6 linked regions of the Macaca mulatta genome follow. The protein of the gene in region 2 purifies or fractionates together with the protein of the main gene of each other region. This does not show direct contact. Links are inferred from orthologs where the notes say so. Each region holds a gene or a part of one and is shown on either strand. Other genes may lie near its edges.

Region 1 (3,500 bases), on a different chromosome or scaffold from region 2:
GGTCACCATGAGCTTTCTGAATTTGAAGGGTTCTCTCTATTTTCTGAATTTGCTTTTTTAGGGGTTGGTTAGGTGCACTTGCTATGCCATATGTATGCACAGCAGCTTTAACCTCCACATCCCAATCCACACATTCTTCCATCAGACCAGAAGGAATGGGATCTACATAAAAAGGAAAACAAATGTATTAAAATTCTCAAGCTACTCTAGACCATTGTTTTCTGAATGATTTCATAAAGTTTTCTATGATCGAATACATTTACGAAACAAAATATGCAAATATACTAAGATGTTTAATAGATATAATATTTTTAAAAACTGAAGCAATCCTGTAATAAAGAAATCTGCCTAAGAAATACCTAAGACCCATCCCATACTCACAAGCACTATCTCCCTTCACCCTCACTAGAAAAAGAGCTTACTCTAGGAATAATGTACAAGTCTGCTGCAACTCTCCCATCTTTTCTCTCCTCCCTCTCCACAGCCCCTCCCCTTTATCTGAATACTTCTGACAGCAAAACAAGATATCAGAAAATGGATTGTGCTCCCCAAAGCTTATCGACTAGGAATTATTACAACTGCAATGCTGTACACCCAACTAAATCTGTCACCCAATACTCCAACAGGGAGAAATTACTGCCCTTAACAATAGAGAGAAAACCTCTATAGGGGAAAAAAACTAGATAACTATGAAAAGATCTGGTGACTATGAAAATTAGAAATGACATTTCTAATTTTTAAAGAATTTGCTGGCTTCAACCCTCTAAATTTTCTATTCCATCCAGGTGTGACAATTTGCTTCCAGCACTCAGAACTTTCAAAGTGTGATCAATTTTTGTCTTAGGCAGACAAGATATATCAAGCCCCTGCTTTACAAAGATCTTGCCTGTTGTTGCTATTTATGCTCCATGTTATCTATAAATCCAACAGGTCTGGAAACTTCAATGAAGTCTCTTGATCCTTTGCTGAACAGATTCTATGATTAAAACTCTCATTACTACTCAGCTGATATCCCTTGCGTGCCTAGTCCTGTAATACAGGCCAATTTCCCTCCTAGTTCTGCCCCAGGAAACTCATCTGAACATCTGTTGTTACACAAGTTCCCAGTTCAATATAGACCTAACAGCATGAATATCATTTTCTCATGATTTCAGGGCCCTGTTAACATTATATAAAGATCCAAATATATCATTTTCCAGTATCCAAAGGCAATTTTTATCACTAGATGCTATGATACTGAATCCTACAAGAAGTCTTAACCCTCTTCTACCAATTTTCAATTTTTTTCCCATATCAGACTACGAATAGACTTATACACAGAAAGAATTGACAGTTTTAGAACTGACATAGAGCCTAAAGACCATTTACTCTAAAGTACTTTGCAAATCAGGACTCTAAGCTTAGAGCAATTAGAGATTTGTAAAAGATCATAAAATGAGTTATTACTAACCCGATCTACTAGAATACATAGAACTCCCAGATCTGTGCTAAATCTAGCTTTGTAAAATAATTAAATATAAAATCGGTAAAATACTCAATTATATTTATTCAATAATTACATATCCCATATTCTACAAAGTCATGTATATACTGTATGTGTATTTTTCCTTTTTTTTTTTTTTCTTTTGAGACTGAGTATTGCACTTTCGCCCAGGCTGGAGTGCAATGGCGGATCTCAGCTCCCTGCAAGCTCCGCGTTCCGGGTTCATGCCATTGTCCCACCTCAGCCTTCCGAGTAGCTGGGACTACAGGCACCTGCCACCATGTCCGGCTAATTTTTGTATTTTTAGTAGAGACAGGGCTTGATCTCCTGACCTCGTGATCCACCTGCCTCGGCCTCCCAAAGTGCTGGGATTACAGGCGTGACCTATATGTGTATTTTTCTATACAGACATATATCTATATATGAATATACACTATTTATAATGCACATTTTCTGTATAACATGCACATCAAACATGCCATATTTCCACTCAAGGGTTTTTTAGAATTTTTTGTTTTTAAGAGATCATTTAATAGTTTCAAACATGCATTGTTTCCAATACGGCACTTAAAAAGAAGCAGAACGAATGACTGAACTGAAATCAAAAGAAAACATTTCATTCCAATTTTTCAAAATAATATTCAAATTAAAGATGCTGTTCCTTCCACATGGTGACAAAGGAGAATATGATAAGAATTACCTTCACAGCAATTTAAAAGAGGTAAAATATCCCCCCTTGTATCAAAGAATACAATCAAATTGCAAAGCCACTAACTAAATGAGCTAATATAGCTCTCATTTTTCTTTCTTTCTTTTTTTTCTTTTTTTTTTTTTGAGATGGAGTTTCACTCGTGTTGCCCAGGCTGGAGTGCAATAGCTTGATCTCGGCTTACTGCAACCTCCACCTTCTGGGTTCAAGCAATTCTCCTGCTCAGCCTCCCGAGTAGTTGGGATTACAGGCATCTGCCACCACGCCCAGCTAATTTTTGTATTTTTAGTAGAGAAGAGGTTTCGCCATGTTGACCAAGCTGGTCTTGAACTCCTGACCTCAGGTGATCCACCCGTCCCGGCCTCCCAAAGTGCTGGGATTACAGGCGTGAGCCATTGCGCCCAGCCAGCTCTCATTGTTCACGTGCCAGTGGTTAGCCTGCACTCCTCTCCCTACTACTTACTAGTTGTAACACCTTTACTTTCTCTATGCCTAAATATCCTCATCTACAAAACAATCGCACACACCTCACAGGAGTGTGGTGAGAAGTAAATGAGTTAACGTACATACAGGACTGGGAACAGTACCCAGCACATCATAAGCACTCTGTGTTTGCTATTATTAATATTTTTATTATGCTTATCACCACTATAATTATTCTGACAGCAAAATGAAACAGATGAAATGTACCTGGTAAAGGGAGAAGGTTGATATTACATTTCTGGGCAATTCTCATCATCATATTTTCTTCCTCTCCCCGGCAACAGTAGGTCACTGTCAGTCCCAATGTACCTATAGCAGAGAGAGTGGTAATAAATCATTTTCACAAAAATAACATTCAAAGCCCACCTGTCACATTACAGATCCCGCCCCTTAAAGAAAGCACTCAAACTTGTTTTTTTTTTTTTTTACCAAAACGGCCAGCTCTCCCAATCCGATGCATGTATGTCTCCCAATCCAATGGTACATCCAGATTTACAACCAGATTCACCTTCTCAGCATCAATCCCACGAGAAGTCTTGAATTGAAGAAGATAGCAATTATTTGTTTGCATTAACTGTATGGCATAGCTACCAATGCATATTATAGTCTTCCAGCATATTATATTCTTCCAGTATAGCCAAGAGCCAAATTAAGAACAGAATATTGAGGAGCAGAGGAAAAGGAAGTTCATTCCTAATGACTAATTTCAAGGACAAAGATCAACATATTAAAGACATTTTTAAGAAAGTATTTTCCTCAGCACCGGAAAGATAATTATCTTCTGGTATTCTTGTTAGATACACCTACATAAAATAATAGATGAAA
Region 2 (4,106 bases):
AAGGAGGAGTCAAACAAAATAAAATGAAAAACGTATATAGTAAGTGCTTTACTGTAAGTGAATGGACGAGAGTACTAAGGAAAAAGAATAGAGACATATTTCAAGTTTTCACGTTGTTTGACGCAAATCTTGTAGACGGTGTTTGCTGCAAAAAGATGAAGAAAACATTCACAGACATTTATGTTGATTACATATTTATTGGTATGTGCCAAGACGTTTTGATCTTGGGGATGAAGTAGTAAACACAAAAATCTCTGTTGTATAGGGCTTACATTCTAGCAATAAAGAACTTGCCCAGAGAAAAGCCCTCTCCTGGTTAGTAAACAGTATGAACAATTAACAGCTCTGGTTGTTTCACAGAGCCACACTGGGCTGCCTGCTGCAGACAATATCACAGTATATATTTAAATATTCTTTTAATTTGTCCATGTATGTAATTTGCAAATTATCACTCATATGTATACATATCAAAAGATGTGTAAAAGTTTTTGATAGAATTCAGCATTCATTCGCTTAAAAAATGAGTGCAGGCTCACTTTATTGATGAGAGTATTTAATCAAAAATATTGGGGATCTACAACTCTAGAGTTCTCCAAAGTCCACCAAGGAAAAAGTAATTTGAATTTAATCGCATTTAAAACTATATAGTATCCATGCCTAAAACATTAGCAACATAGGAAAACTTACACAGCAGAAGAGATGGCTGGGGAATTTTTTTTTGTTTTTGTTTTTTTGTTTTAAGACAGGGTCTCGCTCTGTCGTCCAGGCTGGAGTGCAGTGGCGCGACCACCGCTTACTGTGGCTGGCCTCGACTTCTCCGGCTCCAGTATCCTCCCACCTCAGCCTTCCAAATAGGTGGGACCACAGGCACCACCACGCCAAGCCCGTATATGGTTTTTAAGTAAGACAAATTGCAAAAAAACGTTACTAGACAGTGTTCGCAGGTTTGAGCCGTCACTGGGAATGGCTCGTGTCCGTCTAGATATTCAGAGGCCGAGCACAGTCCTCAGTAGGGCTGCTCGGCGGGTACACTGCTGCCGCTGGCCCCTGGGCTTACGGGAGTGGGAAGGGATTTCAACTCGGCCGCGGACCGGGAAGGCGTTCTGACCCGCTAGAGCTCCGGGCGAGGGACCCCATCCCGGTGCCTACAGCGCCTCCTTTAGCCGGCATGGGCCAGCGTTAGTTACCTCAGGGCACTGAACTGGCGCCTGCGTCTTTCTGCACTTCTCGCTCTTTCTTCAAGTCACTTATGCCCAGCGAGCCCGCCCTCCCGCCCGCCAATCGTCATTTCCGGCGGGTGCTCTGCGTCATTTACGTCGTCACTTCCTGCCGATACCGGTGTGGACGGTGTGAATCGTGGCTGGGCCGGTTCTCTGCTTCTCCCCATCCCCTACTTTCCTCCCTCCCTCCCTTTCCCTCCCTCGTCGACTGTTGCTTGCTGGTAGCAGACTCCCTGACCCCTCCCTCACCCCTTCCTAACCTCGGTGCCACCGGATTGCCCTTCTTTTCCTGTTGCCCAGCCCAGCCCTAGTGTCAGGGCGGGGGCCTGGAGGAGCCCGAGGCGCTGCAGCCGAAGAGAGAAAAGACAACGACGACCCTCAGCTCGCCAGTCCGGTCGCTGGGTTCGCCGCCGCCATGGCAATGAGACAGACGCCGCTCACCTGCTCTGGCCACACGCGTCCCGTGGTTGATTTGGCCTTCAGTGGCATCACGCCTTATGGGTATTTCTTAATCAGCGCTTGCAAAGGTGAGCAAGGCCTCAATCCTGGTCCCCGACGGCTGGGACTGGGCCGAAAGGGATTGGGACCCGCACTCTCCAGTGCTGAGCTGTGGTGTGGTGAGCGGGGAGGGGGCGATATTAACATCTGAGATGAGGGCCAACACTGGTCGGGTGGAGAAAGGAGTGTGTTAGGGAATCCGCAGCTGGAGCCGAGAGGCCTCCGGACGCTTATGTAGAAACTATTACCCCCAGCTAAGACCTCTCTCCTTATTTTATTTTTATTGCTATTTTTGAAGGAGCTGGACAGCACTTGCCTAGACTCTCGGGACAACACTGTAAATAGCTGTCAAGGATTTGGGGAAAGGAGAAATTAGGCCAGGCCGTGCAATACCTTACAAAGATGTTCGCTCTTGTCTCACTGGGTATTCCTTTGTGGTATTAGCCTCATTTTTCAAATGGGAAACAGATTTAGGCTACAATGTTTGTCCAAAATAAGACTAAAATCTAAGTTATTTCGACGCAGATCAGTATTCCCAGCAAATTACAGATGCTTTTCAGGGAAAATGATCTGTTCAGCTCTTCAGTTAATTATTACTGGACATTCCGTAGTGACTTCAATCGGTGGTGATAGTTAAATAGCTGAAACAATTTTTCCACTTCGTCATTGAACATCATTGTATATTTACATTTGAATCTTAGACTCTAATCCGAACTTATAAATTACATGTTTTAAAAAATATTTTCTAGATGGTAAACCTATGCTACGCCAGGGAGATACAGGAGACTGGATTGGAACATTTTTGGGTCATAAAGGTGCTGTTTGGGGTGCAACACTGAATAAGGATGCCACCAAAGCAGCTACAGCAGCTGCAGATTTCACAGCGTAAGTGTAGCCAAGATGGCTAACTTTGGTGTTCTCTGTAGATTGTGTCCTGAAATAATCAAAAACTTCAGTCTCAGATATTCATAAAATTCTGACTCGCTGGCTGCCATATAGAACGCATGATGTTTGATCTCACCAAAATTCCATCCTGGTCCATCGTGGTCCTGTGTGCTGCTTTTGTCTTCAGTGGTTCTCAAAATTTTTAGAGGCCTAAATGACTTACTCCTTATATTTTGATTGAGACTCAGGAATCTGCATTAACAAACGCTCCAGATAATGAATGTTGATCTCCTTTACGAATGCTGCTCTGTGTGTACTCCTTAGTGATAACCTACAGTGATGACCCTAGGTTTTTATTTCAATCCCAGTTTTTGTTAACTGGCTGTAGGCATCACTAAAACTCATTGTGTCAAAAACAAAAAGACAAAACAACAACAAAGCAAAACTCAACTGCTCTTCATTTCCTAAGTTTTTAAAGGTTGAAATCTAAAGCATTCTTGATTTTCCCTTACATCGAGATTATCATCATCTGTTTTGATTGTGCCAGCAGGATGTCTCCTGACTACAATGTTCCTCCATGTAGTAACTGCCACTGCCTTAGTTGAGGATCATTTTTAACTTTCAGTAGTTTCTTTTCCTCCTATTCATATTCCATATTGCTGCCAGTTGTCTTCCTAAAAATGTATTTGATCATGTCACTTCTCTACCTAATGATCTTGCTGTCTTCCCTTTGCCATTTTAGTAGTTCATGACCTTTGATATACATTAGAATATCTGGAGAACTTTTCAAATATTCAAATGGTATGTGTCCCAGAAATTTGGATTTTTAAAACTTTTTCTTTTACTTTTTTACTCTATGCATATATATATTTACACTTTTTACTACATTGAAAAATTTTTAAAATACTTTTTAGTATATAGACAGTATCTAGCTATGTTGCCCAGGCTGTCTTAAACTGTTGGCCTCCATGCATCAGCCTCTCAAAGAGCTGGGGTTGTGGGGGTGAACTATTGTGCCTGGTACAGAAATTCTGGTTTGATTGGTCTTTAGGGATAGAGTACTGATCATACTGATCATTGGCGTTTTTTTAATTTTTCTTCCCTCCTTTTCTTTCCTGATATGCAGTCGTAGAATTGCTGACCTAAAGGACACATTTCAATTGTTGGCCCTTTACAGTTTGCTTCATCCTAGTTCATCAACATCATCCTCTCCCATTGCACACCATAAACCTACAATCTAATTATACTAATCTTATTGTTGTCAGAAATATACTTTACCTGTTCTGACTTTTGGCTGTTAATTATGTTATTAAACTGACCTACAGTGGCCCTCGTTGCCTTTTTGGGAATATATCATGTATTAAAAATCTTGTTTTCTCCAGTTCCTACTTGGTATTTGTAACTTAGGAATTTGACACTTCATTGTTTAAACTGATGAAGGCAATATCAAGAGCTATTGTGCATACACAAATTTATTAGATTTAAGAGGCTAGAGAGTACAAG
Region 3 (4,270 bases), on a different chromosome or scaffold from region 2:
CTGAGCAAGAGGGATGTTTGTTGCTGAGGCTGCTGGAGCTGCGGTCTAGAGCAAGTTGCAGGCCTCTGAGTCTGTTGGAGGTTGAGAAAGGTTAGCTGACTTGCTTAAGTAAGTGTCCTAGACAGGAGGGAGAAAGTGCGCGGGTCTCAGATCCTAGCTCCAAAATCCACGCCCTTTCCCTTTTCATCTCCCGGAAGGAAGCCTTCACAGGTGCGGAAAATGCTCACCCAGTGATTCTAAAGTAGTGCACAAATTGGCATTAGAGGCTGGTTCTGATTCCTGCTATCAAGGTTTATTTAATTCCAAGCTCAAATAACACAGAAAATAAAACTTCCTCCTTAAAAGGTTCTGCGGAAAAATATTCTCTGTTCTACGTAACAGCCTACTTGGCTGTGTTTGTGTCTGAAGAAAGGACTAGTCTGACAGGAAGAATTACAAATCTGGAGCTCATTTTGGCGTCGCAGAGGGAAGGTGGGTGGAGCGTCTCGCAGTAAATTAGGAATTCAGAATGAAAACGTAGAGTTTATTTGGGTTTTTAGTGACACCTCAGGATTATTATACAGGAGTGTCAGACACAGCTCAAAGTAATGATGACTGCTCCCCCTCCGCCCCACGGGGGCTGGGTGCTAAGAAGGGGGAACCTCTCCTTTGAGGGTTTGGGGTGGGGACCCTCCCTTTCCAACCTGGATCGGGAATGGGGATGAGAGGAGAGCGGTTTGGATCCCCATCCTGGGTCTGTGCTGGAGGGAGGCGGGAGGCTATTTGGAGGTGTGTTTCGGCTCAGGATCTGGGTCTGAGGCTGGGATCTGAGGACTTTCTAGGTTTGGAATTGGGTGGGGGAGCTAGGTTTGGGGTGACCGCTGGGCGCAGGAGGAAATAGGAGAGTGAGTCGCATGTGAAGGGCACTGAAGAGGGATCTTCGGGGGAAAGCTGAAGTTGATGCGTGGACTTGGAGAGGGGAAGTTGAAGTGGATGCTGGGGCCTGGCGCTGCAGCGGATCGGAGTGGCATGTGCTGGGATTGCCGGTGCGGGGCTGTGAATGGGGTCAGGGTGGGGCTGAGGCAGTACCAGATCTTCCGCGCCTAGAGGAGGTTAGAAGAAAAGAGCCTCGAGCGGCCACAGCCTTTTTCCGAAAGAGACTCACACAGACACACCCATCGCTCTACCCGGCCCTCCGGGACTAGCGGCTCAGCGGTGCTCTGGCTGGCAGATCCCGCCCCCACGCGGCCTCTGGGAGCTGGAAGCCGGGAGCCAACAGCGGATCCGGCCGGGGCCGCGGTCTGGCGGCCCGGCCCCCGGGGAGCATGGGGCGTGGCCAGAAACCGGCACCCGCGGCTGTGGATTGGCTGCCCGGCGGTCCCGCAGGCGGGGCTCCCGGCTGGGTCCCGCTCGGCCGCTCGCGGCGGCGGGGAGGCGGGGCCGGCGGGAGCCCGGCAGCCAATGGACGCGCGTCCCCCGAGCAGTTACAAAGGGCCGGAGCGAGGCCGCCGCGGCGGCGGGGGAGGTGGGGCGAGGCGAGGCTTGCTGGGGTGAGGCGGCGGCCGGGCCGGGCCGGGCCACAAGCGGTGGCGGCGGGACCATGGAGGCGGCGGCCGCTGCTCCGCGTCCCCGGCTGCTCCTCCTCGTGCTGGCGGCGACGGCGGCGGCGGCGGCGGCGCTGCTCCCGGGGGCGACGGGTGAGCGGCGGCACGGCGGGCGGGCGACTGCGGGGCGCGCGGGCCGGGCCCGGCCTCTGGCTCGCTCCTGCTCTTTCTCAAACATGGCGCGGGGCCGGGGGCGCAGGTGGCTGCGCCGGGGCCCGGCCGGGCTCTCGTGGCCTCGCGGGGCTCGGCGGCCGCCGTGCGAACCGCAAGCGGGGAGCGGAGGCGGGGCAGGGGCGTGTGTCCGGGCGCGGGCGGACGTGTCCTGCTGCCCGAGGCCGCCCCGCTCGGGACTCCCCGGGGAGGTGGAGTCGGGCGGAGTCGTCCGAGGTCCGGGGCTGCCCTCTGGGGTGTGAGTGGGCGAGGGTCAGGGGCGGAGAGTGTGAGGCCGGCGGGGACTGGCAGAGCGGTGGCTGCCCGCCGCCGCCCCCTCGGCACGGCGTGACCTTGTTCCGGGGACCCCCGCCCCAAGAGGGTCCGTGCCCAAGGCTGCCGGGCCCGGGGCGGGGTTTGAGGTTGGGGTGGAAGGCGGCTGCTGGGCGGGGTGTGAGCTCCGAGCCGCTAGGGCTTCGGCCAGTGGGAGTCGGGGGCGAAGTGTGGTGAGACCCCCCGGGTCCACAGGCCGCCGTAACTCCCGCCCGGCTCGACCCGACCCGACCCGACCCTGCTGGAAGGGGCTGCTCTTCCAGCCAGGGGGGCTTTGTGTGAGAAGAAGGAAGCGCGGAGATGCGCGGAATGTTTCTTCTTTCGTGCGTCTGGGGAGTGTTGAAGTGAGTCCAGTAACCAGAAGGCTACGGATTGTTTTCGTAGTGGAAACTTGAACGTTTGCTCGTTCTGCGGGGTTTGGAAATTTTGGGAATGACTGTGAATTGATTAAACGCTTTTTATTTCCTCGAAAGACCATCACTCGCGATATTCCTGTTCTTGAGTGACAGTTAATAGTTTGAATCAGACATCTGTGTAGCTGGTTTTCAAGGAAGAATGTTCGCTGAATTTTTCAAAATATTAAATCAGGTTGGGGTAGGTGGTTGGCATCCTCGAAGGGATGAGTGAAAAACTTTGTTAGCAGCTGAACTGAGGCACTAGAAGCTAAAATACAGAGAGCCTCAGTGTTAGCGACTAAAATGCAGTGAAAGTACATTTCTGTTTCTGAAACTGGACACAAGATGTTGAATTTTTTTTTAAAAAAATCAAGACTGACGATTATAATTAGTCGTAATAGCTACCGTCTATGTATTATGCATTACTGCGATGTAAATGCATAAAGTACACAATTGTATAAGTACGTTATTTAATCACCACAACTAAACTTTCAGGAGTAGTGGCATTTGCCCCACTTTACAGATGTGAAAAGTGGGGTGCAGACACATTAAGTACCCAATAACTAAGTGCTAAAGCTAGGATTTTCACTCAGATCTCAGTTTTCAAAACCTGTATATCTTATATATTAATATATATACATCATACTATCTGGCGTAGCCCATTTTTCTTCTTCAGTCGTCTGCTGAGCAATTGGTCTTTATTATTCACTTTAGATTCTGTCCTCATGATTTGAATATCAGATAGGCTTCATTCCGACTCTTAGCACATTCCTGAGTCCCTTCACGTGGGCCTCCTGCATTAGAGGAAACAATGGATTTTTGATATTGGCCTAGGGAGGAAGGCAAGATAACTGTGTGGACATTTGGGAGAATCAGTATAGTTAGGCATGAAACACAGGTAACATTTCCACACCACTATTAACTTGAATAGCACAGTGCATTCTTTTCCACCAGAAGTAGCATAAGAAGTGTTCATGTATTCAAGTAACAGTAGTGGACTTAGTTGAATATACAGAACATTGCTCAGTCCATGTCCTGGAGAAGTTTACAGTCTCCTTGGCGTGCACACAATACAAAGCTGTCCAGGTGCTTATTACTGTAAGCCCAGACTGCCTCAGCTTGTCTGCCTTCCTTGTTGGTTATGATGATGCCTCAGTCCACCCTTAAAAGACATTCTGAAAAAGGTCAAATGCTTTTTTTTCCCCCTCAGTAATTTGGCTTCTCTTTTAAAGACTTGCACTTTTTTATGTTCTGAGTATGTTTTATTGTTGTCTGCCCAACTTCTCTCTCCAACATAGATTTCTCTAGGGAAATGGATTCCTTGTCCCTAGTACACAGTTTAGTACCACTATGTCTATATTTATATCCCATCTGAGAATGCTGTTTGCTTCCTTTCTGCCATTTCATAACTTTTTTTGTTTGAAAACATGCCCCCAATCCAACTCTTCTTTCTATGAATGCCTCTTGAATGTCTCCTCCTTTCTTGGTATGCAGCCTTCAGCTTAATCCTGCCTGTTATCCTCCAAATCTAGTTGCTTTCCCATGTTTCTCTCATCTAGGCTTTTCTATGGGCTACTGCCAAACTAATCTTCCTCAGCCATCCCCATGAAGGTTTATAAGATTTCCCATTTGTATTCAGCACTTAGAACCACACTTGAGCAGCTTATGATTGGGGCCATCTCTGAGTATCTTACCAGGGATCTCATTTCCCATGACTGCAGACCTTCAAACAATTTCTCTTTCTCACTGACTCCTGACTGTTCAGCCTTTTCACTACACGTTTAGTTTTGCCCCTGTTATGGGAGTGTG
Region 4 (3,966 bases), on a different chromosome or scaffold from region 2:
TTCAAGTGCACAACAGCCACACGTGGCTGGCAGCCACCATGTTCCACAGAGTAGGTATAAACTGAGCAGGGGTCTAAAAAAGCACTATTGTGCCAATTAGCAACAGGAAGTAAATGTAAGGGTCTTGAGCAAAGATTTTCACTAATAAAAGTAGGCAGTATCTAGCACAGAAGCTTGTTGTTACTAAATTGGAGAAACAGAAATGCAAATAACTGGTTATGTACTGATTGTAGCTGCAAATCAACGGATAGCTTACATGTGCAACATATGGCAACTGATAATTTTCAGTCACACAGTTTTACCTCAGCATAAAAGGACATTAAAATATTTAAAAGTTTTGTGTTCTTTTTAACTAGGTACCCACACATGCAAGTGGAAAACATTCTAATATCAAAACAAAGGAATTTTTAAAATCCTGACTGGGCAGAAGGGTTTAACAGCAAGTCACTCTCACCCATAGTAGTTTCACCACTTAAGACAGTCTAGCTATTAAAGCTTACAAAATAGATCTCAAAGTGCTTCCTCTTCTGTTTTCTGCAAAGACAAAGCTAAGAAGAAAGCACATCAATTCTTTGTGTTTAACAAGATCAAGATATTTATCTCATTTTGCAATACAGTCCTGAAATGCAATTCCTCAAAAATCTGTCCAAGAGAACATCGGTCCAAAATTTCCATGTTTTAACTACCTTGTCGAAAGTATGGCTCTCACAACAGTTTCAATAGACTTAGTGCCACTGAACTCTACAATAAAAAACATTGGAACACTAAATGTTATGTATATACTCCAGCATAATTTGATATTTTAGCATTTTGTTTGTATAAAACAAAAATCGATGGCCCTACACGATGTGTCTTCGCGGGGGGGGGAGGGAAAAATAAGGGTAGGGGATAAAGCCGGACTGCACATCAGCTTTCACACTTTCAATTTTGATTTGCTAGGACTTCACCAGATTTTCACCCACACTCGCTAAAGGTCATACTTAAGTCAGAACTTACTCACAAAAAAAGAAAACCTATCTTCTGTGCCTCAAATACTTTAGTTTTCAACTCAGCTGCTATAAATACTCATCTCGATGGTAAACATCCAGAACAGCTGCAAAACCAAACTATTAGCTTCTCTTTTATTTTAGTCCCAGGGCTAAAACGAAACAAAAAGAAAGCCGAATATTTATCCAGGTTTTATGACTCAGGTATATGCCTATTCAAGTATATAAACCCCCTCCTTACCCACACCAAGGATATACATTATTGGATATCAATACCAAAATAAAATCAAGGTATGTATTACAGTGCCCCTCAATGTAGTATCAAGAATGTTTGCCTTTACTCAAAATGAAAATTACTCAGCATTTTAGAAAAGTGTAGCTTGTATTTGTGGGTTACAATTTGAAACCTACATTTTAAAAAAGTAGGTTAGTAGCAGTGGCTGAGAACTGCCAGCTCATACCAGCCTGATGAAAATTTAAGCCTCTCAAAAAGATTTAACTACCACAGTGCCTTTGAGCATTCTCCCTCTCCGCCCTGCCTCCCAACTGTTTAAAGAGCGCCACATTCTTTTACTCATTTAAGGTGCAAAACACGAAAATTAACTTGCCTAACAACGTTCAGATTTTCTTTGCAGATTGAAGCCTGTTTCAGGGAGCGTTCTCTGCTTCACCTGTGAGTTAAACAAGACGGCCGCCATCTGGGTGTTTCTAAGGGAAAACCTTAAAGCAAAAGAACCTTGGCACTAAGATTTCGTATTGATAAAACATCATGGTAAAAATTTGAAGCTGTCTCCCACGGGGGAACTTCAAAAAATTCTACATACAATGACGAAGCCAGGCAGTTCATTGCACAATGTGGGCCAGGCGCTGGCACCATCAGAGCTAGAGGAGGTGGAAGGGAGGACACTACTGAGCTTTCAAAAAGGCGCACGCCCTTTCCTCAAGATAGAGGGGTGGGAGCCACGTGCCTAAAAGATTAGGGACTGGTTCCCTTTCCCAAGAAGCCGAAGGGGAGACAATGCGGGGAAGGTTGGGTGCTGAGACCCTGCTCTAGGTGACTGGAGTAACGATGTCAATTCCGCCACGCTGCTGTACCAGATGTGGCTGGGGAAAGCTGTCTTTAAGCACTACCCCTAAATATCTAGATGGAGCGGGGTCTCAGTCTATACACAAAGAAGGCGCCACTGCCGCACTGCGCTCTGGTACTGGTAGTCAGATTCCCAAGCAGGTAATGGCCAGCAAACTATAGGGTCCAGAGTCAAAGCAGGCCCCTCTTCTCGGTCTCAGGCTCTTCCAACCTCACACAAAGGACCGCGCCACCACCCCCTCGCCCCGCCCGCCGGGACATGTAGTTCCCATTTCCCCAGCCAAGCGGCAGATGGGGAAGCCGCCAGACTACAGCTCCCAGCAGCCTCCGCGCCCGAGCCCCGCACCCTATGCCTCCATCTTGGCTGCGGTCGGAGCCTCCATTTTCGCTCCCTCCCCCCACTTTAGTCACCACCACCACTACCAAAACGCGCAGCCGGCTGGCCTCGACTCCTGGTTTCAGCTCTGCGACCTGACGTGAGGCCCAGGCAGTTGAACGGGAGACGTATGAAAAAGCTCAGGGCAGGGAATTGGGGTGCATTCTTCCCCACCTAGAGCTCTACGAGTGCCTACCTTGACTCAGAAAGCTTTCCCCTTAGCCTTGGTCTTATTCTCAGCCCTTCCCCTGGGTTTTTGCTACCCCCAGTTGGACCCTGAGGTCGTACTCACCCCAACAGCTCAGCGCCCCCTCTCCAGCGCCGCCATAAGCAGCACGGCCCGGTACGTAGGAATAAATCTCGCTTCTCTCGCGAGAGTTGCGCGCTCCGAGCTCGTGCACGAGAAGGGGCGGAGTGAAGCGTACTCTCAATACGCTTGCGCAGCAGGGCTGAGTGACGCCAAGCAGTTTGCTGCACTTAACCACAACCAACATGGTGGCTGCATTCCCTTACATTCCTTCTTGGGTGTGCTGCGGGAAGCAATCTGGGTGTTTACTGACTCCTCCTGGACACTACGGGTGGCGGGTAGCTTTAGGCGTCTCTAGTCTTTGAGCGTTTGAATACGTTTTAGCCCACAATAATGGGGTAAACCTTGAAGGCGAACAATTCTGAGGGCATATCCAGGAGTCATAAAAAATGATTTATCTTTTCGCAGCAAAAAATCCAGAAGGGCCTCACACTCGTTTCTTCTCATAGTGCAAGCATTCTTTCTTACATCTACTGCATTAGACGAATTTCATTAGTATAGAGTCAGTTTTTTAGCAAGGTAATTTGGAAATCTAAATGAGACCTTTGTTTTCCACGAACAACATTGCAACAGATGCACAAGAGTGAGCAAGGCTGCATAATCACTAAACAAAATGAAACAAATTCAGTCAACTGACCTTTCAAGTTACCAAAGATATTCCTGTTGTGTCAGGTAATCAAAGAGGGTGAATCAGTAATTAAAAGGTTGAAATAAGAGCAAAGAGATGATTCATCCAATGGGGGAAGAGGGAAGGAGGAAAATGGGTAATTATGACCACAGGAAGTTCAATGGATTATCCCCTGTCAGACAGTACAGCATGCTCCTCTGGTGAGAGGAATGCTTTTCCCAGATTCAATGCTTCTATTTTCACAGATTCACTGGCTCTCTCACTTGACAGTATTGGAAAAATAATGAGCAGCCAGTCTCCTGAGTACTCTCCTACCCACTTTTTGCTTACAACACATTTATTTGACATGTTGTATGTGTAATCACTGGGAAGTGTACAGTTGTAAAGAAAATCGGATGTAGTCTTGTCCTCAAGGAACTTTTAGTCTAGCATCATTAATGATCACAAAAATAAATCCAAACGTACACACTGGAATAAGTGCAATGACGGAAAGATAACCTTCAATTCAAACCTCTTGAATTCTAAGAGGAGGCCGTGTCCCATTTCTGTTTAAAAATTTCTCTCCACCTTTGTTGCTGGTGT
Region 5 (4,043 bases), on a different chromosome or scaffold from region 2:
GCCCGGCCTCTTTTTTTTTTTTTTTTGAGACGTAATCTCCCTCTGTCCCCCAGGCTGGAGTGCAGTGGTGTGATCTCAGCTCACTGCAAGCTCCGCCTCCCAGGTTCACGGCGTTCTCCTGCCTCAGCCTCCTGAGTAGTTGGGACTACAGGCGCCCGCCACCGCGCTCGGCAAATTTTTTGTATTTTTATTAGAGACAGGGTTTCACCGTGGTCTCGATCTCCTGACCTTGTGATCTGCCTGCCTGGGCCTCCCAAAGTGCTGGGATTACAAGCGTGAGCCACCGCGCCCGGGCTTTTTTTTTTTTTTCTTTTTTTTTTTTTTGAGACAGAGCCTCACTCTGTTGGTCAGGCTGGAGTGCAGTGGCATGATCTCGGCTCACTGCACCCTCTGCCTCCCTGGCTCAAGCGATTCTCCTGCCTCAGCCTCCCGAGTAGCTGGGATTATAGGCATGCGCCACCACCCCGTGTTTTTAGTAGAGACGGGTTACATCATGTTGGCCAGGCTGGCCTTGAACTCCTGACCTCAGGTAATCTGCCTGCTTCGGCCTCCCAAAGTGCTGGTATTACAGGCGTGAGCCACCGTGCCTGGCCAATAATTTTCAGAGGTAAAACTAACGTATTTATTATCTACCATTAAAGACCCAGGAGAACTTTAGTAGCTGGGAATCCCACTGGTTGTCCCAGCTGAGGTGCAATATTATCTTTTACCGTCTTTACCTTACGATAGCGGATATGGTGTTAATAAATGATTAGAATACTGCTTTATGAGCAGGAAATAATGTAATCATTTTCACCCTATCAGAAATAATAAAATGTTTTCTGCATGAGCAGATATTTTTCATGATTTGTTGGTGTTTAAAAATGTTTTCAGAATTATGAAGATACCATTATCTGTAGTTTAGGAAAACTACGACTCACTTTAAAAGAAAAAAAAGTTTTAAGTGCCTGCCCTTAGAAAAGATGGTTCCCAAGAACACACTTCCGGTACTCGAGATGATGACTTCCCTTGAACTCCCATTCTGTAAGACGGATAACGCGTTGGCCCTTAAGAAAGATGGCATCTTTCCGCCTTCTCTGCCCCCTTCCAAGATGGCTGCCCCAATGTACTCTTGGGACCTTGCCTGGCGCCTCTTCCGGGCTAGGCAGCGGGCGGGGTCCTTTGAGTAAAGCCTTGCGTGCCTGCGCCCGCGACGGAGGCGCGCTTCAAAGCGCAGGCGCGGGGAGGGGGTTGGGGAGGAGGGAAAGCGGCGAGTAAGATGGAAGATGAGGAGGTCGCTGAGAGCTGGGAAGAGGCGGCAGACAGCGGGGTAAGGAGGAGCCGCCGCCCCAGGGCAGGGCCGGGCGCGACCTGGCGTGAGGGGAGCCTCCGGGGAGCGGGTCTGGAGATAGTTCTCCCCAAGGAAGGGCCCCACACGCCGGGCTGGGGGTGGAGGAGAGGCCCCCAGTTCCTGAGTGCCGTGAAGGCCTCTTAAAGGGGCCGCGATCCATTTCTCTCCTTTCCTTTGCCTGGTGCGCCTCCCTCCGCCCACTAACGCGCGCGTCACCCGGGGCGCTCCACCCGCCACTTGGGGCCTCCTTTCCTGACCCCCCGCGCCCGCTCGCTGGCCCCAGGCCTCTGTGACTCTTTCCGACGGGCCCTGTCGCCCGAGGCACCATTTTAAAGTTCATGTGGTCTGACGGGGAGGGACACACCATGTGGGTGGGTGGGGGGGCTTGCGCAGACCCGGGACGCACGTCCGGCTTCGCAGGAAAGCGGGAGGAGGCTGCCGAGGGCGGGGGGTGGGGGGAAGTTGAGTCCTCTTTGGGCTACTCAACTCTGCTAAAATCCCCCACCATCCGTCACGGTGGGCGAGTCTGGGTTTTTTTGTCTTTCACTTTTACTCCAAGAAGAGTTTGTGGGCAGGCAGGCAGGTCTCACGGGGACACTGCCAAAGCAACCGAAAGCTCTGCGGGCAGCCCCTCTGCCACTCAGCGATCCGAGGCCCTGGGAGGGTCTAGGAGTGCGCTTGTCGGAGTCCGGGGGAGGGGTGTGATATGTAAAACAGCCGCATTCCTGGGAAAGGAGTGGGGAGATGGACCGTTCGACTTGTTTTGGGAGTTTTTGTTTGCCTCCAGAAACTGTAGGAAAATAGTTTATCTCAAACAGGATCTGTGAATTCTCTTAGATTCGTGAATAATTTGGTCTTTTCAAAGTTTGTGGTGAAGATGGGGAGATGCCTTTTTCGTCTCCTCGTGTTCGTGTCTGTTCAATGCTGGCTCCACTGACATCCACCTTAAAGGTTTACGTGTGTGAGGAGTCGAGTGTACCAGGGTAGAGTAGGCGCTGGGTTTTTTTTCCTAAGCGCTTTTTGAGGGTGCTTGTGAGCCCTGGAAGAGGCCGGGAAATTGACCCTGGCAGCAGTCAGTGGGTGTATCTAGCTCTACGGGAATGGGGAATGTTGAAACTTGACTTTGAAGTTTTTCCGCTGGTTCAGCATTTCTCTCACGGTTGTTTATGTTTTTCCATTTAGCATAATTGAGAATTTGAAGGATTAGTTCGTTCAGAGGATATTTAGTAGCGTTCTTAATGTGACAGCCATCTTTCTTGAGTTTTGGCTTAAGTAAAGAAAGTTAAAGATTTTATAGGGAGTAACAGGTGTCAGTTGGCTCCTTGTTCATTCAGCCCGCATTTTTGAGTGTCAGCTATATGCTAGACAGTGTTCTTACCAGTAACTTTGTGCCAGAAAATGCAATATTTTCGGCACAGGCGTTTACTGCCTACCACTAATCTGAGTGAATCATCCAGACACCCCTCATGTCATCCCCTATAAAAAAGCTTGGCTTACAATTTTAATGTCATGCAAATTATACGTTTCTTGGGCATCTTGGCCTTTCTTTGGTTTTCCCCACCTGTTTCAAAGGGTCATAAGTTCCTCATGTTAGAGAAGTTGGAGGCCAATGAACAAAGATGAATAGGATTCAGCAGAAATTGGGGCTTACTTTTCTTTTTCAGAATGGTGAAGTCAATTAGAAATTAGCTAGTGCAGTCCCCCATTTAACAGCTGAATAAGCCTAGAAATGTGAGATTGAGAGACTTAGGTCTTTCTAATGCTTGTCCCGTGTTCTTTCTTTTTTCTTTTGGTTCCCAAGTTTTATTTAATAACTTATATGAAATATTCCAGATAAATGAAATTTAATCCTTGTCTTCCTCCTCTTTGTCCTGGTTGATCTGGAAGTAAGGTAATTTGTAACGATCGTTGCTGTTAGCAACTAGGAGCAACCAATCACGTAGATTATTCTTCTTCAAATATTTTTTAGTGAGATATTTGAAATACCTTTTGGAGAAAGGCACCTCAGATGTCACGTTGATCTTGCTTCTTACTCCTTTCAATGGTCACCACCCCTCCACCAAAGTTCTCAGCTTTTCTGTTCACTTTGATCTTTTCTTGCAAAAACTGCTCAAAATTGGTAGCATCCATGATTCCATCTTCTACGGGGTGAGTGCGATCAAGAGTGAACTTGAGATTGAGAACCTGCTGCTTTTTTTTGCCCCCCTTCACCAGAGGCTTTTTCACAGGAACCATGGCAGCAGCGGAGGCAGAAAGCCAGTGTTCTTTCTACTATCCTTTACTTTAGTAATATCCTTTAAAAATGTACCACGGCCAGGTGCTGTGGCTCACACCTGTAATCCCAGCACCGTGGAAGGCTGAGGTGGGTGGATCACCCGAGGTCAGGAGTTTGAGACCAGCCTGGCCAACATAATGAAACCTCATCTCTACTAAAAATACAAAAATTAACCGGATGTGATGGCACGTACCTGTAATCCCAGCTACTTGGGAGGCTAAGGCAGGAGAATTGCTTGAACCTGGGAGGCGGAGGTTGCAGTGAGCTGAGATCATGCCATTGCACTCCAGCCTAGGCAACAAGAGTGAAACTCCGTCTCAAAAAAAAAAAAAGTACAGAAGTGGAACACAAACTTTGCCTTATTGGCATCATGAACACCTCTGCCAAAATGCAGGTTCTCTAATATATCTTATTTAATTGAATCCTTGAAACAACCTG
Region 6 (3,984 bases), on a different chromosome or scaffold from region 2:
AAAAAAAAAAAAAAAAAAAAATTAAAAAAAAAAATAAATAACTAGTAACTGAGACCAGGCACGGTGGCTCACGCCTGTAATCCCAGCACTTTGGGAGGCCAAGGTGGGCGGATCACGAAGTCAGGAGATCCAGACCATCCTGGCTAACACGGTGAAACCCCGTTTCTACTAAAAATACAAAAAATTAGCCGGGCGTGGTGGCAGGCACCTGTAGTCCCAGCTACTCCGGAGGCTGAGGCAGGAGAATGGCGTGAACCCAGGAGGCGGAGCTTGCAGTGAGCTGAGATAGCACCACTGCACTCTAGCCTGGGCGACAGAGCAAGACTCCCTCTCAAATAAATAAATAAATAAATAGAAACTGGCACATGACCTGCATCATCAAAGGGCACCTACCACCGCCTGTGCCCATTAAGTTAATTTAACTGGCCAGTAACACTTCTCAAATGCGGGTTCACCAAGGGTGGCAAATCCCACTGAAGATACACCTTTCTGTTATCTATGAACTTCTGCTGTGCAACTCCCTCGCCTCCAGCTGCCCTTCCCTACGCAATGCCAGAATGTTCTTGTAACTTCTGGCTATGTGCCAGTTTTTCTCAGGTGTGCTCTGATGCACCTAGGAGAAGACCTTTGTCATCCCATTTCACAAATAAAAACACAGAGGTCCAGGAGCCTAAGTCATTCATTCCTATTTACCCCGAAGGTGCAGAGCTAAGATCCCCATCTGCAGTTTTAAGTCCTCCAATACTCAATACTGGGTGCTAAGTCTTTATGAACATCATCTTATTAACAATAAAAACAGTAAACAAAGTAACAAAGGCTGACACGTGCTGACTGGTTGGTGCCAAGCCCCTGATATACACTTTGCCATTTAATTCTCCAGCATTATGAGGGTGCTACCACTATCCCCTTGCTAAAGATAAAGAAACCAATGCATGAAGAGGATACAACATTTGCCCAAAGTCAGAGCTGATAAATGGTGCGGGTTAAGTGCCAATCTTCAACCACTACTCACTGAATTTTCACAAAAATTCTACAAAAGGGGTACTATCAAACCCTACTTTTTTTTTGAGACAGTCTTCTTCTGTTGCCCAGGCTGGAGTGCAGTGGCACGATCTCAGCTCATTGCAACCTCCACCTCCTGGGTTCAAGTGATTCTCGTGCCTCAGCCTCCCAAGGAGCTGGAATTACAGGCATCATCATGCCCGGCTAATTTTTGTTATTTTTAGTAGAGACGGGGTTTCACCATGTTGGTCAGGCTGGTCTTGAACTCTTCACCTCAGGTGATCCACCTGCCTCAGCCTCCCAAAGTACTGGGATTACAGGCGTGAGCCACCGCACTGGGCCACAACCCCACTTTAAAAAAAATTTTTTTTTTTTTGAGAGACAAAGTCCTGCTCTGTCACCCAGGCCGGAGTATAGCGGCACAATCACAGAGCACTTCAGTCCCCAACTCCTGGGCTCAAGCAATCCTCCCATCTCAGCCTCCTGAGTAGCTAGAACTACTGCTGCACTCGACCACACCCGGCACCCGGCTGCAACCCCATTTAAAACAGCGAAACTGAGGATCACAAAGATTAAGCCCCTCGCTTAAATCACACAGCTAGCAAAATAGTCAGAGGCTGGACTCGCAAATCCAACCCCTTGCTCCCCAGAACCCAAACCATTCCTGGCCTGCTCAGTGAACTCACCTCAAACTCTCGAATGTACGGCGCAATGCCACAGTAAGGTTGATTGTGGTGTTTTTCATGTGGCAGTTTCTCCAGGGGTGGCAGGTATGGGATAGGGTCACGGGGGGCAAAGAGGGCCAGAAGGTTGGGCGGCAGGAACTGGGTCATCTTGCCAAGTCTGAGAGCAGAAGCAGGACAGCCTTAGGTTAGATCGGGTCTGCAGAGAAAGCCCCTATTACTCCTTGACTCTCAAAGTAAGAAAGAAAGGAGAAAAGTCTCGGAATTAAAACAGGCTTTGTAACGGCAGAGAACGGTCCTGTGTTACGGAGAAAAGGGTAAAAGTCTTGTTGGAGGTGGAGGTGAAAGGCCGGTAAAAGACACAAAAATAAAGGCTGAAAAAGGGTTCCTGAGTAGTGAAGTCTCAGAGTCCTGAGACACGAGCTGTGGGGCGGAGAGGTTGCCTGGGAATTTCTGGGGGAATCAAAGACCCGAGGAGGGAGGCCCAGGGCAGTTGTGGCTGCTCGTCCCGTACCGTGGACAGCAAATTACTAGACGCAGTTTGCAAGGGCCTGGGGGTCGGAAGTCTCCGAGCAAAGAAAGAGAAACATAAGGAGCGAAGCCCCAAAACCAAGCGCTTGTGGGTAACAGATCTGGGCCCCGCAAAGGCGAAAGGAATTATGGGTAAGGGTCCAGGACAACATAGAAAAACGAAAAAGAAAAAAGGCTACACACCGCAAGGGCCTGTGGGTAGGGAACCGCGAGGGCGATGTGGGGACCGGGCGTGGGTGCCCAGAGAACTCGGGGTCCGAGAAAGGGATGCAAAAGTGACCTGTGGCGAGGACGCGGGAAGGGGGCCTGGCCGCGGGGAAGAGGCCCGGGCCCACCGCTGGGGCTTCTGGGTAGCGGCCCCGCTCCCCGTCGGGCCACTCAGTCACACTCACTCGCCGCGCAGCGCCCTCCTAGCTCTGGTGTCTGTCCGGAGGCTCGCGGCGGCTGCGGCGGCCCCTCAGCAACAACAGCTCCTGCTTGGGCTTCCACTCTGGGGGCGTCCGCGTCCGTCTGATTCCGTCGCCCGCGCAGCGAGCGCACCAGGCCGCTGCTCAGGAACCCGCGCGGCCTCGGCTAGCGACTGGAGCAGGGGGTGGGTCCCGGCCGCAAATCCCTCCGCCGTCTGCACTGCGCACGCGCCGCGCGAGGCCAAGCTCAACCCACACGCTGGGACCCGGCGCCGCCGCGGCAACAGCGCACGCGCGAGGTCACCACCCCGCCTTCGGGCACCTTGAGTATTTCAACCGCCGGGAGCTGGCGTCTGCACTGCGCGCGCGCGCTTAGCCCCAAGCCGCCCCTCCACCTCTCGCTTTCCGCTCCAAACCGCCTATGTCCGCGAGGCTCTCCCTGATGCTCCGCCCCTTTCCAATCACACTTCCCGGATCTTGCGCGCATGCGTTCTGCGTAGGGAACTATAATGTACCTCTCCGCCGACTAGCAAAGAGTCCCTAAGTGAATGGCCTGATTGCGTTGATGTTTAATCTAGTCAATCGATAACTGTTCATCGAGCATCTCGTGTGTGCTAGGCACTGTCTGGGCTTTGGGGCTACAGCACGTGATTAAAGCAAAGTCTTCTCCTGCTAGGGCTTACACTGTACTGGGAGAGACAATAAAAGCATTTAACTGAGTAAAGATAATTTGAGGCCGGGCGCGGTGGATCACGCATGTAATCCCAGAACTTTGGGAAGCTGAGGCGGTCGGATCACCTGAGGTCAGGAGTGCGAGACCAACCTGACCAACATGGTGAAAGCCCGTCTCTACTAAAAATACAAAAATTATCCGGGCGTGGCGGTGCGCGCCTGTAATCCCAGTTACTCGGGAGGCTGTGGCAGGAGAATCGCTTGAACTCGGGAGGCTGAGTTTGCAGTGAGCCGAGGTCGTGCCATTGCACTCCAGCCTGGGCGACAGAGCGACTCCGTCTCAAAAATAAATAAATATAAAAAATAAAAGATATTTTGAGATAGTGGCCAGCATAATGAAGAACGATGGAGCAGAATAAAGGGATGGGAAATGAGAGCGAGTCTATTTTGATAATGGAAGCCTCTTCTGAAGAGGCAACATTTGAACAAAAACCAGATAGAAGCGAGATCTGGAGGGGGGGAGGAGCGGGGGGTGGTGTTTAACAGTTTAAGTGCAAAGGTCCTGAGCGAGGACCAGATGGCAGAAATCTCAGGTTGTTAGCCATGAGATCAGAGAGCTGGCACTTAAGCTATTTGGAGCCCTGTTGTTAAGTATCTTCAGTTTTGTGGATAGATTCAATAGCCTGTTT

Evidence for each region.
Region 1: the proteins of STRAP (region 2) and DDX20 purify together in Homo sapiens (affinity purification with mass spectrometry; 3 studies listed by BioGRID and IntAct, counting the BioPlex papers as one, with this or other methods). This does not show direct contact. The link is inferred for Macaca mulatta from reciprocal best matches to the Homo sapiens genes STRAP and DDX20.
Region 3: the proteins of STRAP (region 2) and TGFBR1 purify together in Homo sapiens (affinity purification with western blotting; 3 studies listed by BioGRID and IntAct, with this or other methods). This does not show direct contact. The link is inferred for Macaca mulatta from reciprocal best matches to the Homo sapiens genes STRAP and TGFBR1.
Region 4: the proteins of STRAP (region 2) and CSDE1 purify together in Homo sapiens (affinity purification with mass spectrometry; 3 studies listed by BioGRID and IntAct, counting the BioPlex papers as one, with this or other methods). This does not show direct contact. The link is inferred for Macaca mulatta from reciprocal best matches to the Homo sapiens genes STRAP and CSDE1.
Region 5: the proteins of STRAP (region 2) and SZRD1 purify together in Homo sapiens (co-immunoprecipitation; 3 studies listed by BioGRID and IntAct, counting the BioPlex papers as one, with this or other methods). This does not show direct contact. The link is inferred for Macaca mulatta from reciprocal best matches to the Homo sapiens genes STRAP and SZRD1.
Region 6: the proteins of STRAP (region 2) and SNRNP70 purify together in Homo sapiens (affinity purification with mass spectrometry; 3 studies listed by BioGRID and IntAct, with this or other methods). This does not show direct contact. The link is inferred for Macaca mulatta from reciprocal best matches to the Homo sapiens genes STRAP and SNRNP70.

Annotation. Positions count from the first base shown.
Region 1 is NC_133406.1:128,474,561-128,478,060, forward strand, and holds part of DDX20 (putative ATP-dependent RNA helicase DDX20), read right to left. Parts: intron 3,211-3,500; coding exon 3,105-3,210; intron 2,985-3,104; coding exon 2,883-2,984; intron 163-2,882; coding exon 1-162.
Region 2 is NC_133416.1:18,352,832-18,356,937, forward strand, and holds the start of STRAP (serine-threonine kinase receptor-associated protein), read left to right. Parts: upstream 1-1,306; 5' UTR 1,307-1,635; coding exon 1,636-1,747; intron 1,748-2,467; coding exon 2,468-2,603; intron 2,604-4,106. UniProt on the Homo sapiens protein: The SMN complex catalyzes the assembly of small nuclear ribonucleoproteins (snRNPs), the building blocks of the spliceosome, and thereby plays an important role in the splicing of cellular pre-mRNAs.
Region 3 is NC_133420.1:59,300,419-59,304,688, reverse strand, and holds the start of TGFBR1 (TGF-beta receptor type-1), read left to right. Parts: upstream 1-1,470; 5' UTR 1,471-1,579; coding exon 1,580-1,676; intron 1,677-4,270. UniProt on the Homo sapiens protein: Transmembrane serine/threonine kinase forming with the TGF-beta type II serine/threonine kinase receptor, TGFBR2, the non-promiscuous receptor for the TGF-beta cytokines TGFB1, TGFB2 and TGFB3.
Region 4 is NC_133406.1:125,495,969-125,499,934, reverse strand, and holds the start of CSDE1 (cold shock domain-containing protein E1), read right to left. Parts: upstream 2,801-3,966; 5' UTR 2,742-2,800; intron 1,707-2,741; 5' UTR 1,595-1,706; intron 1-1,594. UniProt on the Homo sapiens protein: RNA-binding protein involved in translationally coupled mRNA turnover.
Region 5 is NC_133406.1:224,669,015-224,673,057, reverse strand, and holds the start of SZRD1 (SUZ RNA-binding domain-containing), read left to right. Parts: upstream 1-1,243; 5' UTR 1,244-1,258; coding exon 1,259-1,309; intron 1,310-3,174; exon of another isoform or gene 3,175-3,565; intron 3,566-4,043.
Region 6 is NC_133424.1:61,533,489-61,537,472, reverse strand, and holds the start of SNRNP70 (U1 small nuclear ribonucleoprotein 70 kDa), read right to left. Parts: upstream 2,801-3,984; 5' UTR 2,609-2,800; exon of another isoform or gene 2,400-2,608; intron 1,846-2,399; 5' UTR 1,836-1,845; coding exon 1,689-1,835; intron 1-1,688. UniProt on the Homo sapiens protein: Component of the spliceosomal U1 snRNP, which is essential for recognition of the pre-mRNA 5' splice-site and the subsequent assembly of the spliceosome. SNRNP70 binds to the loop I region of U1-snRNA.